2 linked regions of the Arabidopsis thaliana genome follow. The protein of the gene in region 1 interacts with the protein of each later gene in a pairwise test. Each region holds a gene or a part of one and is shown in the gene's direction. Other genes may lie near its edges.

What was found.
Region 2: the proteins of SFC (region 1) and FKD1 interact in binary tests that used the Arabidopsis thaliana proteins (3 or more experiments, as listed by UniProt).

Annotation. Positions count from the first base shown.
Region 1 is NC_003076.8:4,256,551-4,264,221, reverse strand, and holds the start of SFC (ARF GTPase-activating protein), read left to right. Parts: upstream 1-1,653; 5' UTR 1,654-2,203; coding exon 2,204-2,248; intron 2,249-2,912; coding exon 2,913-2,989; intron 2,990-3,103; coding exon 3,104-3,204; intron 3,205-3,486; coding exon 3,487-3,557; intron 3,558-3,768; coding exon 3,769-3,831; intron 3,832-4,298; coding exon 4,299-4,343; intron 4,344-4,743; coding exon 4,744-4,809; intron 4,810-4,904; coding exon 4,905-4,952; intron 4,953-5,054; coding exon 5,055-5,150; intron 5,151-5,227; coding exon 5,228-5,269; intron 5,270-5,433; coding exon 5,434-5,649; intron 5,650-5,722; coding exon 5,723-5,854; intron 5,855-5,984; coding exon 5,985-6,215; intron 6,216-6,318; coding exon 6,319-6,405; intron 6,406-6,492; coding exon 6,493-6,828; intron 6,829-7,055; coding exon 7,056-7,201; intron 7,202-7,288; coding exon 7,289-7,373; intron 7,374-7,593; coding exon 7,594-7,671. Other genes in the region: AT5G13310 (uncharacterized protein), read right to left, coding at 305-661. UniProt on the Arabidopsis thaliana protein: GTPase-activating protein (GAP) for ADP ribosylation factor (ARF). Involved in the spatial control of provascular differentiation. Required for the formation of the normal pattern of continuous secondary veins.
Region 2 is NC_003074.8:23,383,261-23,388,386, forward strand, and holds FKD1 (FORKED 1), read left to right. Parts: upstream 1-1,727; 5' UTR 1,728-1,772; coding exon 1,773-2,126; exon of another isoform or gene 2,127-2,209; coding exon 2,210-2,335; intron 2,336-2,866; exon of another isoform or gene 2,867-3,074; coding exon of another isoform or gene 3,075-3,080; coding exon 3,081-3,525; intron 3,526-3,600; coding exon 3,601-3,834; intron 3,835-3,915; coding exon 3,916-4,023; intron 4,024-4,135; coding exon 4,136-4,365; 3' UTR 4,366-4,582; downstream 4,583-5,126. Other genes in the region: BIL4 (Bax inhibitor-1 family protein), read right to left, coding at 4,678-4,884, 4,962-5,119.

The DNA of each region.
Region 1 (7,671 bases):
GCATAATTCATGGAAACAACACTCAGCATCAAAGAAAGTGACATCCTATTCATAATACGGTATGTGCTACATATAGTTATAGCAAGAAAAACTCAAATTCAAGAATCTTAAAGCTGGTTACATAGGTTGATGATTCACGTACAAAAACTCTATAAGTCACACAAACCAATATGATACTACATTAAAAATTCAATGCTCTTCTCATATGAATCTACCAAATCCAAGAGAAAAGACCAACACTGTTCCCTAATTTCAATTAGCTAAGCAATGAGAAACAATCGTTAAGAGACCAAAATTGATTTACCTCGTCATCGAGAGTGCGATCAAGGCCCATGGAGGCTCTGATACTCCACACACCATCAAAATCCTCGCCGCAATCAATATCTTTGAGATCATCCTCGGAAGGCTTCTGCTGTTTTAAGAGCTCGTCAAAGGATGAAGCACAAGGAATCTCGTCTCTATCGTACGAATCTCGCTTCCACTCCCGCTTCTCTACCTCTGTGTCGGAGAGAGTCCACACCGACCCCGATTGCTGCCGCGACGCCGGAGCAGAAGACGACGTGGAAAACTTGGAAGACGAAGGACGAGAGAAGGGTAGAGATCCGAAGATCTTCGCAACGCGAGACTGGAAATCTTCGTCGGCTGATCCAGACGATGCCATTGTGAAGCTATTAGAAATTGAAACACACACAAATCGATTGCTGTGAATAAACGAAGAACGAACAAAATAATAGACCGCCTTTCGTGTGATCCTATAACAAAACAAATTTTAAATGGGCATTTTATAATGGGCCTGGCTTAATGGAATTTCCTACTTCTTGGCCCAATATCGGCCTACTAGTCACTGTTACCTCTATACAGTTTTTAATTTTTTTTTGGTTGTGTGCTAAAGTGGATTTTAGTATCCGTAGGCCGTTTGAGGTCAATAAGGAAATGAAAGATGCGACAGTCTAAAAAGGAAAAGAGAGATCTAAGTTACATTAGATTGATAGCCATATGTCGGAAATCATTTGAGAGAGAAAACATACGATAAATGTTGTGAGAAAGATGAAAGAAAATTGATGTGAGAAAATCTGATTAGAAGACCATATTAAATGTTGGTTAATAGTAATACATAATGTTCATTATTATGTTTTTAATTGCAGATGTCTTAGTTTTACCAGTTGAACAAAGATCTTAACCTAGATTTAAGACGATTATCGTTATGATTAAACAATATTGAACTAGCTGGACAAGACTCAAGAGATCATACATTTCATTAAACAATAAGGATTTTGAAACCAAGAAAATGTATTTTAATAATCATATGCGACTGTAAAGTCTGCAAAAGAAAGTAAGATCATCGTGTCCATTTTTTCCAAATTTCTCCCACTTTTCTTTTTGCTTTAACAATTTTTTTCCAAAAGAAAGTAATCATAAGTGTTCAATTTTTTATATTTAAAGATATTTTCATATAAAATAAAATAAACATGTCTTAAAAGGAATCATTTATACCCCACTGGCCTCTCTGTCTCTCCGGAACAAAAGATAATGGAGAAGCAACCAGATAACGGGTCCCACTCTCCCCTCTCTATTAATACTCTCGAGAGAATCGCGTTTACTACACGCGCCTCCTAATTTCCAGCCTCTTTAATACTACACGGGCTTTAAAGGCGCGTGGATATAGTGGATTTTAGCCAGAGTCCTTGTTTTCTCAGATGACCACTGTTACAGAAAAAGCACAGTCAGTCCTCTCTTTAAAAAATTTACACTTGAAACGACGTCGTATCTTACCAACCTTCACGATCTCCGGCGGTAACTAAAACGGCATAGTTTCGCCGTCTTTTGTGGTTAAAATTTTCACAAAGACGGTGAAGTTTTTTTTCTTCCTTTCTTTGATTTGTCTGTCTCTTCTCTTCTCCCGAGACACTTCATCTAAAAAACACACCCCCACTGTTTTCTTGTTTTGTTCTCTCTCGATTTCGCGAGAAAAAAACACCAGCTCAAAATTACGCTTGGCTCGAGACTTTGAAGATCATCGGTTTCTGTTTCTGTTGGATATTTCGGGGAAGCTTTGGGAGGAGAGGATCTCACGTTTTTGTTCGTTTATGGCGTCTGTGTGAGACATAGTGGTGGTTCTAGCTTTTAGGTTTTTGGTGTGTGTGTTCGTGTTATGTTAATTGCTGTTTGTGTCGAAGAAGAGGAAGTAATAAATTAGCTCAAAATGCATTTCACTAAGCTTGATGACTCTCCCATGTTCCGCAAACAGGTTTGTTTCTACTACATATCTTTGGTTCCTGTCTATGTGTGCTTGTCTTGATGTGTCCAGTCTTTTAGTGTCGTAGGTTAAAATTGGGTCATATTAGGCGAGATTTGTTCTTCAAAAGTTGTCAACAGATACTAATTTTGGAGCCATTAGGATGTGTTGTGTCTGGAATTTTGAATGTCCACCGACATTTATATTCCAAAATGTGAGTGGAACTTCACTGGAAGGTTCGAATTAATGTGTCACTAAGAAATTGGTTTATCTGGACGGCCTATTCGCGCTTTAACTTGTTGCTCCATGAAATGTGAAATGACTTATGATCCAGTGCACTTGTTTGGGTCTCTGATTCGTGTGTTTAGGATACATTTGTGTCCACTTAGCTACTACTTTCATGCTCACTGGTTTAGTAGGACTTCTGCTATCTAACTCAACTTAAATGCTAAGGAAGTTCCTAGTGTAGCTCAAATTCTGTCCAACAACTGCTCTGTTTGCCTGAAGTTGATGATTCTTTTGCCCCTATATAGAGTGCCTGAATCACTCAATCTTTGGGGTTATCCATAGTTGCAGTTTCTTCCATAATTGGATTGTGTCTTTACTGTTTTCTTTGCGTTTATGTATTTTTCCTTCCGCAGCTGCGTTCTTACATTGATATCTTTTTCTTAAATAGTTACAAAGCATGGAGGAGAGCGCAGAAATATTGCGGGAAAGAAGTCTCAAGTTTTACAAAGGATGCCGGAAATACACGTATGCTAGTTCAAATTTTCACAGCTAATTAGGATTGTAGCTCTACATTTAGAGTTTTCTTCTGGCTGAAACATGTATCTTTTAACAGCGATAGATTATTCTTTCTTTTTACAGTGAAGGACTAGGCGAGGCATACGATGGGGACATTGCTTTCGCAAGTGCACTTGAAACATTTGGTGGAGGCCATAATGATCCAATAAGTGTGGCTTTTGGAGGTATGACCGATTATATGGAAACTCGCAGTAGCATATTGTCTGTTTATTCCCATAATCTTTGCAGTTTTCATCTGAGATTCTTTGGCACTTTCCATTTTAGAATTCATAATTTCGTTTTTAAGCACTAAATACTGATAGTGGCCTTAAATTATGAGGGAAGTTGTTGTTCCCGCTCTTTCTCTTCGCTTTCTCTTTGCTAGGGTTGTTAGATTCACTGGTTTTGGTGGAAATGTTAACAATTTGCTGTTAAAAGTGCTGACAAACTCTAACTTGCTGTGCCAGGACCGGTAATGACGAAATTTACAATTGCGTTGAGGGAAATTGGGACTTATAAGGAAGTTCTTCGGTCACAGGTATGCTAGTTTGCTATTTTGACACTCTCTGTTTCTCCCTATTCCCAGCCTTCTCTCTGATAACTCCTGTGGTATCAACGTAGGATAGCTTTGTTTTCCTTCAGCAAAAATGGCCTCTTTATAGTTTGCTTTACCTTAAGACATCATATAGATTTAGAGCAGATCAAGTCATTTCAATCCAGGTTTTGATTTTGATGAGTTCCATTGTCAGGTGGAACATATACTGAATGACAGATTACTTCAGTTTGCCAATATGGACTTGCATGAAGTTAAGGTACAAGCTGCTTCCTTTATTATTGGCTTGATATACATGTTTTGAGTTAACTTTGCATCATTGAGGTATTAGTATTGACTAGAATATCTATTAAACAATGGAGGACAAATATTCTGCATGTGTGAATAGAGAAAATATGAAGACCTGCCAAGAGGCATTTAATTTAATATGGACATTAGGTCTTGTTCTTCTGGTTTGACTTGCAGCACTAGAAATCTAAAAAAAAGAACTAATTATCACTCATGTGGTCAACCTTCCCCAAACAAAATATAATTGTGAATATTTTCTGAGGTCATTAATGTAGATAAGGTCTGATGATTGCGGAAAATATGGTTAAGTTTCTTGAGCCTGCCTTTACATTGTGGCTAGTCAGCTTGTCCAGATATATCTTTTTCCATTTTTATAGTAGGCTAGCATGACATGGTTATATTTGGATATGGAACCCTGAGAGATCATTTTTGCCACAGGAAGCTCGGAAGCGCTTTGACAAGGCTAGCCTTACCTACGATCAGGTATCCCTTTTGTCAAGGATTTTTGTTTTCCCCACTCCGCTGACTTGGTTTGCACTACAAAAGATATTTTGGAAAGATTAAAAGTTCTCATCCTGACTCTTTTCTTTACTAGATGTAAATCTGTATGAAAAGTTTCAACCAGACAAAATGGGTCGAGCTCAAATATTTTAGAATCATTCCTCGTTAATGGAGGAACGCTAGGGTTCCTCTTTTTCAAAGTTATGATATGTGTTGCAGTTTCCGTGCAGGCAGTGTATAAATTTGCAGAAACCTAGCTAGTTTTTTTGTTCATGCTACATTTGTAGCTTGGAAAATAACTGATAGAAATAGAGAGGCATATTGGGTCCACGGCTCCCACTTATCTGGACGATTAACTAATTAACTTCTTATTGTGCTTTAGGCCCGTGAGAAGTTTTTATCTTTGAGGAAAGGTACAAAAAGTGACGTTGCTGCTGCTTTAGAACAGGTATGGTGCATGATTTTAGTAAAGCTCGTTTCTGATTTTTGATAACCATGTATTTTTATTTCTATGTTGTAACTAACATATTTTGACACTGACAGGAACTTCATACTTCGAGGTCTATGTTTGAGCAAGCTCGGTTCAACCTTGTAATTTTCTATCGTTTGATCTTGAGTGTTCAAATCTACATACTTGCTGTCCATACGTAGTATTGTTGAAGTAATCATTTGGTTTCCCTAATTTATGCTCAGGTGACTGCTCTATCAAATGTTGAAGCTAAGAAAAGGTTTGAATTTTTGGAAGCAGTCAGTGGAACAATGGATGCACATCTTCGGTACTTCAAACAGGTAAGTTTGTTATGCTGCTTAGAATTATAAAATAGTCTGGAAAGGTTTGTGTCAAATCTAAACGTGGTTGCTTTCAGGGTTACGAATTACTGCATCAGATGGAACCATATATCAATCAGGTCGGTTTAATGTTATTTTCCTTTTCTTCAAGTGATAGATCCCTAAATATTTGGGGTTTATGTATAATTCTCTTCTACGACTATGTATGAATCTTCACATGTGTTGAAAACGCGGAGATAGTAGCATTTAGAAAACTACTTATACATCAACTCTTTTTTTGTAGGTCTTGACATATGCGCAACAATCCAGAGAAAGATCAAATTATGAACAAGCAGCACTTAATGAAAAGATGCAGGAGTACAAAAGACAGGTTGATCGAGAGAGCAGGTGGGGTTCAAATGGTTCTAATGGATCACCAAATGGAGATGGCATACAAGCAATCGGTAGAAGCTCTCACAAAATGATAGACGCCGTAATGCAATCTGCTGCAAGAGGAAAGGTTGATCAACGTCTTTAACATATGATTGATACATCTTCCAGAGAGTACTATTAACATTTCTTGGTGCTTTCAGGTGCAAACAATAAGGCAAGGTTATCTCTCTAAACGATCTTCAAACCTGAGAGGAGACTGGAAAAGAAGGTTTTTTGTTCTTGACAGCCGGGGAATGCTCTATTATTACCGAAAACAGTGTAGCAAACCATCTGTGAGTTTTGGTTTTATATTTATCTTTTATTTGAAAACAGCAGAATTATGCAAACGGTATGGTGTTCATAAAGTAAAAATCTATTTGACCCATTCTTTTCACACTCTGACTTAGATTATTTGATGTTTAGGGGTCTGGAAGCCAGCTTTCTGGACAGAGAAATAGCTCCGAGCTTGGGTCTGGACTGCTTAGTAGGTGGCTTTCTTCGAATAATCATGGACATGGTGGTGTCCATGATGAGAAGTCTGTAGCTCGTCATACAGTGAACTTACTCACCTCAACAATTAAAGTCGACGCTGATCAATCAGATCTGAGGTTTTGCTTTAGGATCATATCACCTACAAAAAACTACACGTTGCAGGTTTGATTCAGAGTGTTTGTTACTGCCTTAAAACTTTATTGTATACATGTTTGCCCAAGTTTAATAGTTTTCACTCAGTGTTTACTTATGTTTGTCAGTGCAGGCTGAGAGTGCACTCGATCAAATGGATTGGATAGAAAAGATCACTGGGGTTATTGCATCACTACTTAGTTCTCAGGTCCCTGAACAGGTAAGTATTATCATTATTCCTTTACCTGACCAGGCTCATATTAAATACCAATGCAACTTTGGTGATTGTCCATCGGCTACATTTCAGCGTCTTCCTGGTAGTCCCATGGGAAGTGGCCACCATCGATCTGCTAGTGAAAGTAGCTCATATGAAAGTTCTGAATATGATCATCCTACTACTGAAGAATTTGTATGTGAGAGGAGCTTTTTGGGGTACAATGAAAGGCCATCAAGAAGTTTTCAGCCGCAACGGTCCATTAGAAAGGGTGAGAAGCCCATTGATGCTCTTCGAAAGGTCTGTGGGAATGACAAATGTGCGGATTGTGGAGCTCCAGAACCAGACTGGGCTTCTTTAAATCTGGGGGTTCTTGTCTGTATCGAATGTTCTGGTGTTCACCGTAATCTTGGTGTGCATATATCTAAGGTAAAAAATCTCCAGAACTCTTAATTGCTTAGAAAATATATGTAGGCTCTATAACAACCAACTTATGGAAGGACGTAAAGAAGTCCATGAGAATTTTGAAGTGACACTAGGCTTATATTCAATAGCAATTCAGATTATAGAGCATGTGATAGAATTTGAACTTTGGATGGCTCGGCCTTCAATTTGACATAAGTTATACAGCAATCTGAAGTTGGCTGTTGCTACAGGTTAGGTCACTCACTCTCGACGTGAAAGTATGGGAGCCATCTGTTATAAGTTTGTTCCAAGCTCTTGGAAATACTTTCGCAAACACAGTTTGGGAGGAATTGCTTCATTCAAGGAGCGCCATCCATTTTGACCCCGGCTTAACAGTGTAAAACTCCATTTATGTTTGAAAGTGATGATAACTTTGATCACCTAGAAATCATAATGTTAAAATTACTCTGCCAAATATGTGCAGGTCTGATAAATCCAGGGTGATGGTCACTGGAAAACCCAGCTATGCTGATATGATATCTATCAAGGAGAAGTATATACAAGCTAAGGTTTTTAAGCTTCTACCCTTTATTTGATTCCTTATGTTGGAGATAAATGAAGCTATTTTTCTTCTCGAGGGCGTGCTTATTTCTTCCCAGTATGTTGTTCCTTCAAATATTCATTGAGCATGTAGAAAATATTTACTTTCGAGGCATTCTCTCGTTGCTCGGTCATAGGCAATGTTCAGGAAAGCTCATTCAAACTTTTTTTTTTTTTGTCATTCCACAGTATGCGGAGAAGTTATTTGTTCGGAGATCAAGAGACAGCGATTTCCCACAATCAGCTGCACAACAAATGTGGGACGCA
Region 2 (5,126 bases), on another chromosome or scaffold:
ACAGTCAAAAGCTCTCCCTTTCAAACATGCTTTTTGGTTGTGGTTGCTCTTCTTTAGTCTCTCTCTGTGACTCAGTTTATGTTCCTGTTGTGTCTCCCCTGTTGCTGTTCCAAACTTACATCTCTTTGTTTGCTTTCAAGCGTCGCATTAAGACAAAAGTGGTGTTATTAAAGTAAAAGCTGCCTCTCTCCCTACACACAGATTGATTCCTTTAGGGAATCAATCATCTTTTCTTTGACACTTTTGATTTATAGTTTTTTTTCATGAATGGTTTTTTGTACGTGTAGATCAAACCGACAACAGGGTTTAGCTCGCAAGTCTTTTCTTTTGTGAATTCAAAACAAAGTTTCAAACTTTGTCCCTTCGAAGATGCTTGCTTTGACCTAAAGAGGTGCTTTTTGCATCGAAAGTGACCTCGGTTTCAAAACCCTAATCTAAGAATAGAAACGGATATGGTGTAGGTATGTAGGTGTCTATTGTAAGCAAATCAAAAGCAAAAGAAGATGGTACCTAAAAACTAAAAGTAGTTTAAAGAAACAATAAAATGGAAAAGAGGGTTCATCATTCAAAGTGGCAGATACATTCAATTTTTAATTGGTAGTATAAAATACAAAACGTCCAAACAAGAACAATGATTGCAAGGCAAAGGAATAATCAGAGAGACAAAATGACTAGTATTTTTCTAAGGGATTGGTTATAAAGAATGGAAAATGTGGGTATCCCTAAAAATTAGACAGAGCAAAAGGGAATAAAGGATGTATCTTTATTCAGTGGTCACCCACCTATAGTTTCCAAAGTGCAAATAAATTTAATATAGATACACATGATGAGATTTTGAAATATCTTATATATGCGTTTTTATATATATCAAAATGCTCTAGTACCAAAGAATATAGATCAACAATCATGTTAATTTGTACAAAGATGAAAGAAGATCAGAAGTTTTGATTGTGTAGCCTGAAGAAAACCTTGGATGGATGAATAAACTAATTGCCAAGTTTTGTGTCATTGAAGTGGAAAAGAGACAGAGAGAAGAAGGTGACGTAAGGGAAAGCACGCCAAGGCAGCAGCATGTGTGAATGTACGCAAAGGTCGCAGCTTTGTGTTTCAAAACCGAAGCAGAAGGGACCAAATTAAGAGACTGACTGATCATCATACACAGTCGTTTCATTCCTTTATTCTCATCTTTCTCTTCCTCCCATTTTCTCACACCAAATTTCAGCACCTAATCCGTTAGTTTAACCATGATCCACAACAATAAACCAAGTTGTTTGATTGGTTTAAACAAGACACTCTAAACGCAAATTCAACCTTCTTTTCCTTTCTTTTTTGGTCAATTGAAACATAAATGTCTGATAACCTATGACTGACTAGTCAAGCTATCCTAATGTTTCTGATTAAATTAAGAAAAGGCAAATACAAGGATGACTTGATTCCCTCCTTTTTCTCAAGACTCGTTGATACATACATCTAAAGTAATATTTATGTGTAATAAAAAATGGGATTGGCAAAGATGCGGCCTTATTATTGAAAAGCGACGTCTTTGTTTTGTATAGTAGTAATCCATTATTTATGCAACGACTATATATTATGTCAAGAGTAGTACTACTCACTCCTACTCTCATCGAAATATAATCACATATTTCTTTAAAAGAAAAAGAAAAGGTGAAATACCTAAACGTTACTTTGTCTATCTATATATATACACACACATAAGTTTCCTAGTCAAGCTCTGAAGTCGAAGCAAAGTTAATTACAGAGAGAGAGAAAGGATGGAGAGAGAACTCAGACGACCGAACCCAATCAACAGCTCTCGCCGGCCGGAGATATTTTCTTCAGGCGGTAGTAGTACTCAACTACCGGAAAGCCCACGAGGCCCAATGGAGTTCTTGTCTAGATCCTGGAGTGTCTCTGCCTTGGAAGTCTCCAGAGCTCTCCACACCGCCAAATCAGCTTCAGCCACCAACAGGCCTCCCTCATCCATTAACACTCCGATACCGGAAGAAACGCTAAACCCTGAGAAAGAAGAATGTCCGCCGGAGAACAGTACTAGTGTTAGTAGCCAGTTCTCGTTCGCTGCCTCGGCCACTTCACAGCTTGTTCTTGAGCGCATAATGTCTCAATCGGTACGGTTACATAGTTATGGACCGACCGACACACTCTGTTTTTGTATCTTGATGATGAGTTTATTCTGTTTTGAAAAATGAAGGAGGTGTCACCGTTAACGTCGGGGAGGCTATCACACAGCAGCGGCCCACTCAACGGCGGCGGTTCTTTTACGGAGACAGACAGTCCTCCTATCTCCCCTTCCGATGAATTCGACGACGTCATCAAGGTACTTCTTCCCTTATACTATCTCTCTAATCCTTCCTTCCTAGGTTTATCCTTGGTTTATCCTTTTTCTTAGAACGTAAGTCTCCGCCATACTTTAGAGTTTGTTAGCAAAGTAAACAAAAATTATGAGTCAAAAGAAAAGCAGAGGCAGCAGACAGAAACAGATTTGACTTTGACTCTCCACTTTACAACCTGTGTTTGTTTACTTTAACCTCTCTCATTCATTTCACCCACAAAAAAACTACATTGTTTTTTTTTGTTTCTTGTTCATTCATATGACCAATCTTTAGTTGGTAGAAGGTCTCCTTAAATTGGGTCGTTGCCATACATAATTTTAAGGAAGTGCTGCAAGGTTTAGCCTTCTGGGTCTTGGGACTTATAAAGCTGGTCGGCGATCATTAAAGCGATAGATTGATAGTAATGCAGTTTCAATGTTTTCTTTTTTTTCTTCCATTGAATGCTCTGTCTCTACTGCATTTACTTGATGAATTGGAGTTCATAAAAGATTAAAGACATAATTGGTTGGACACAGGAATAGGAATGTTACGGTAACGCCTAGAGCTCCTCTTTGGTTGGCTCATTTTAAGAAAGTTATCGGTAAATGCTTTTAGAGCGAGCAGTCACTTTACCTCCATTTCCAAGCAGTTCATTAATCCTTTATTTGCTTTTTGTAGTCCAATATAATGCCATCAACTTGTTGGATTTTTCATTAAGTCAGCCTATCTAATAAACCAATCCTAATGCAGTATTTTCGCACCCACAACACCATACATCCTCTCTTCTCCGGCACAGGAGGCAGCCGTGGTACCACCGGAAATGGGAGCAATACCCCCATGGCTGGAACCGGTCCAAAGACAGTTGGTAGGTGGCTCAAGGACCGTAAGGAAAAGAAGAAAGAAGAGACTAGGACTCAGAATGCACAGGTTCACGCAGCTGTTTCTGTTGCAGCGGTTGCATCTGCTGTGGCAGCTGTAGCAGCAGCCACAGCAGCTTCTTCCCCTGGTAAGAACGAGCAGATGGCCAGAATCGATATGGCCATGGCTTCAGCGGCTGCTCTGGTGGCTGCTCAGTGTGTGGAGGCTGCAGAAATCATGGGAGCAGATAGGGATCATTTGACATCCGTGGTGAGCTCTGCCGTGAATGTTAAGTCCCATGACGATATTGTCACCCTTACTGCAGCTGCTGCAACAGGTACTGCATTAAAACGTAGTCACCCTTACTTCTGTAGAGATTCCATACCTGAATTCACCCCCTTTTCTTTTGCAGCTCTGCGAGGAGCAGCTACACTCAAGGCAAGAGCGCTTAAGGAAGTATGGAACATAGCTGCAGTATTGCCAGCCGAGAAAGGGGCAAGTTCAGCGTTGTGTGGACAGGTTGACACAAAGCATAGTGATAGCAGCTTTAGTGGAGAATTACCTGTGGCTGGGGAAGACTTCCTTGGCGTCTGTAACCAGGAATTACTAGCTAAAGGCACTGAGCTCCTCAAACGAACTCGTGGAGGTACTCCAAAGCTACACCCGTATAAATGATTTGTAAGCCAAGTAAAAAGCAAGGGTCGCTGACCTTGAATTTTGAAAGCAGGTGAACTCCACTGGAAGATTGTCTCTGTCTACATCAACAAAGCAGGCCAAGCTGTGCTGAAAATGAAAAGTAAACACGTTGGAGGGACCTTCACAAAGAAGAAGAAACGTAGGTTCTTCTCAGCACAAACATTTCATCTCTTACACTAGCCTGGCTTTTAAAGTAAAGCTAGATAGATAATACAAGTCATAATAGTCTTTGATTTGGACTTGTGTTGCAGATATGGTGCTTGAAGTGAGAAAGGATATACCTGCATGGGCTGGCAGAGATCTTTTCAACGGAGACAAGCATCACTACTTTGGCTTAAAGACAGAAACAAAGAGGGTCATTGAATTTGAGTGCAGAAACCAAAGGGAATACGAGATATGGACTCAGGGCGTATCCAGGCTACTTGCCATTGCTGCTGAGAAGAAGCAGAAAAGTTCCATGTCCAAATGGATGGCACCTTAACAACATAAGCTAGGAAAGAAGTAGATGCTTTGTAGAACGAACTGCTTATGATAAGAATAGGTTTAAACATAATGGAGTAGAAGACATTCCCTTTTGTAATATCCTTTTATTCAATTGAGTGAACAGAGATGACTTCTAAAGCTAACAACAACCTTCACAAGTACAAATGTATTGGATTCTCCTATCATGTTACAAGCAGTGATCAACATTTCTTTACAACCCAAATTTCCTTTTGCAGACAAAAGAATTTGAACATATGAACTAGATAACAATGGCACAGTCTTAAGAGCAATCTGAAAGAGACAAGACTGCCTAACTATCAACAGCCCTTAAGAGAGTGAGGAGAGATAGGAAGAGATTAATGACATCCAAATAAAGAGAAACAGCAGCCCAGATGTACTCGTCATAGGAGTGCCTCTTGATCAAGTTGTCGGTATCATATACAATGTAGCCACAGAAGATGATGGATGCCAAACAACCATAGATCATCACAGAGATCTTTCCTAAAGGGAAGAGAATCTGCAGCAATAAAGATAGTATTTAAGCTCTTATTGTGGAAGAAGAGAACATTGAAGCCTTGTGAGCGATATTGATACCTGGATGAAGGAAAACACCATGAGGACAATGACAGCACCGAACAAGAAAGGTCCGAGGAAGTTGAAGTCATGGCCTCTTTTGGCCGCCCAGAAAGTGTATAGAGTGAGGGATATGACCACAACAGCGGTCAAAATCACAGATTCCAGAATCACCTTCCCTGTAAT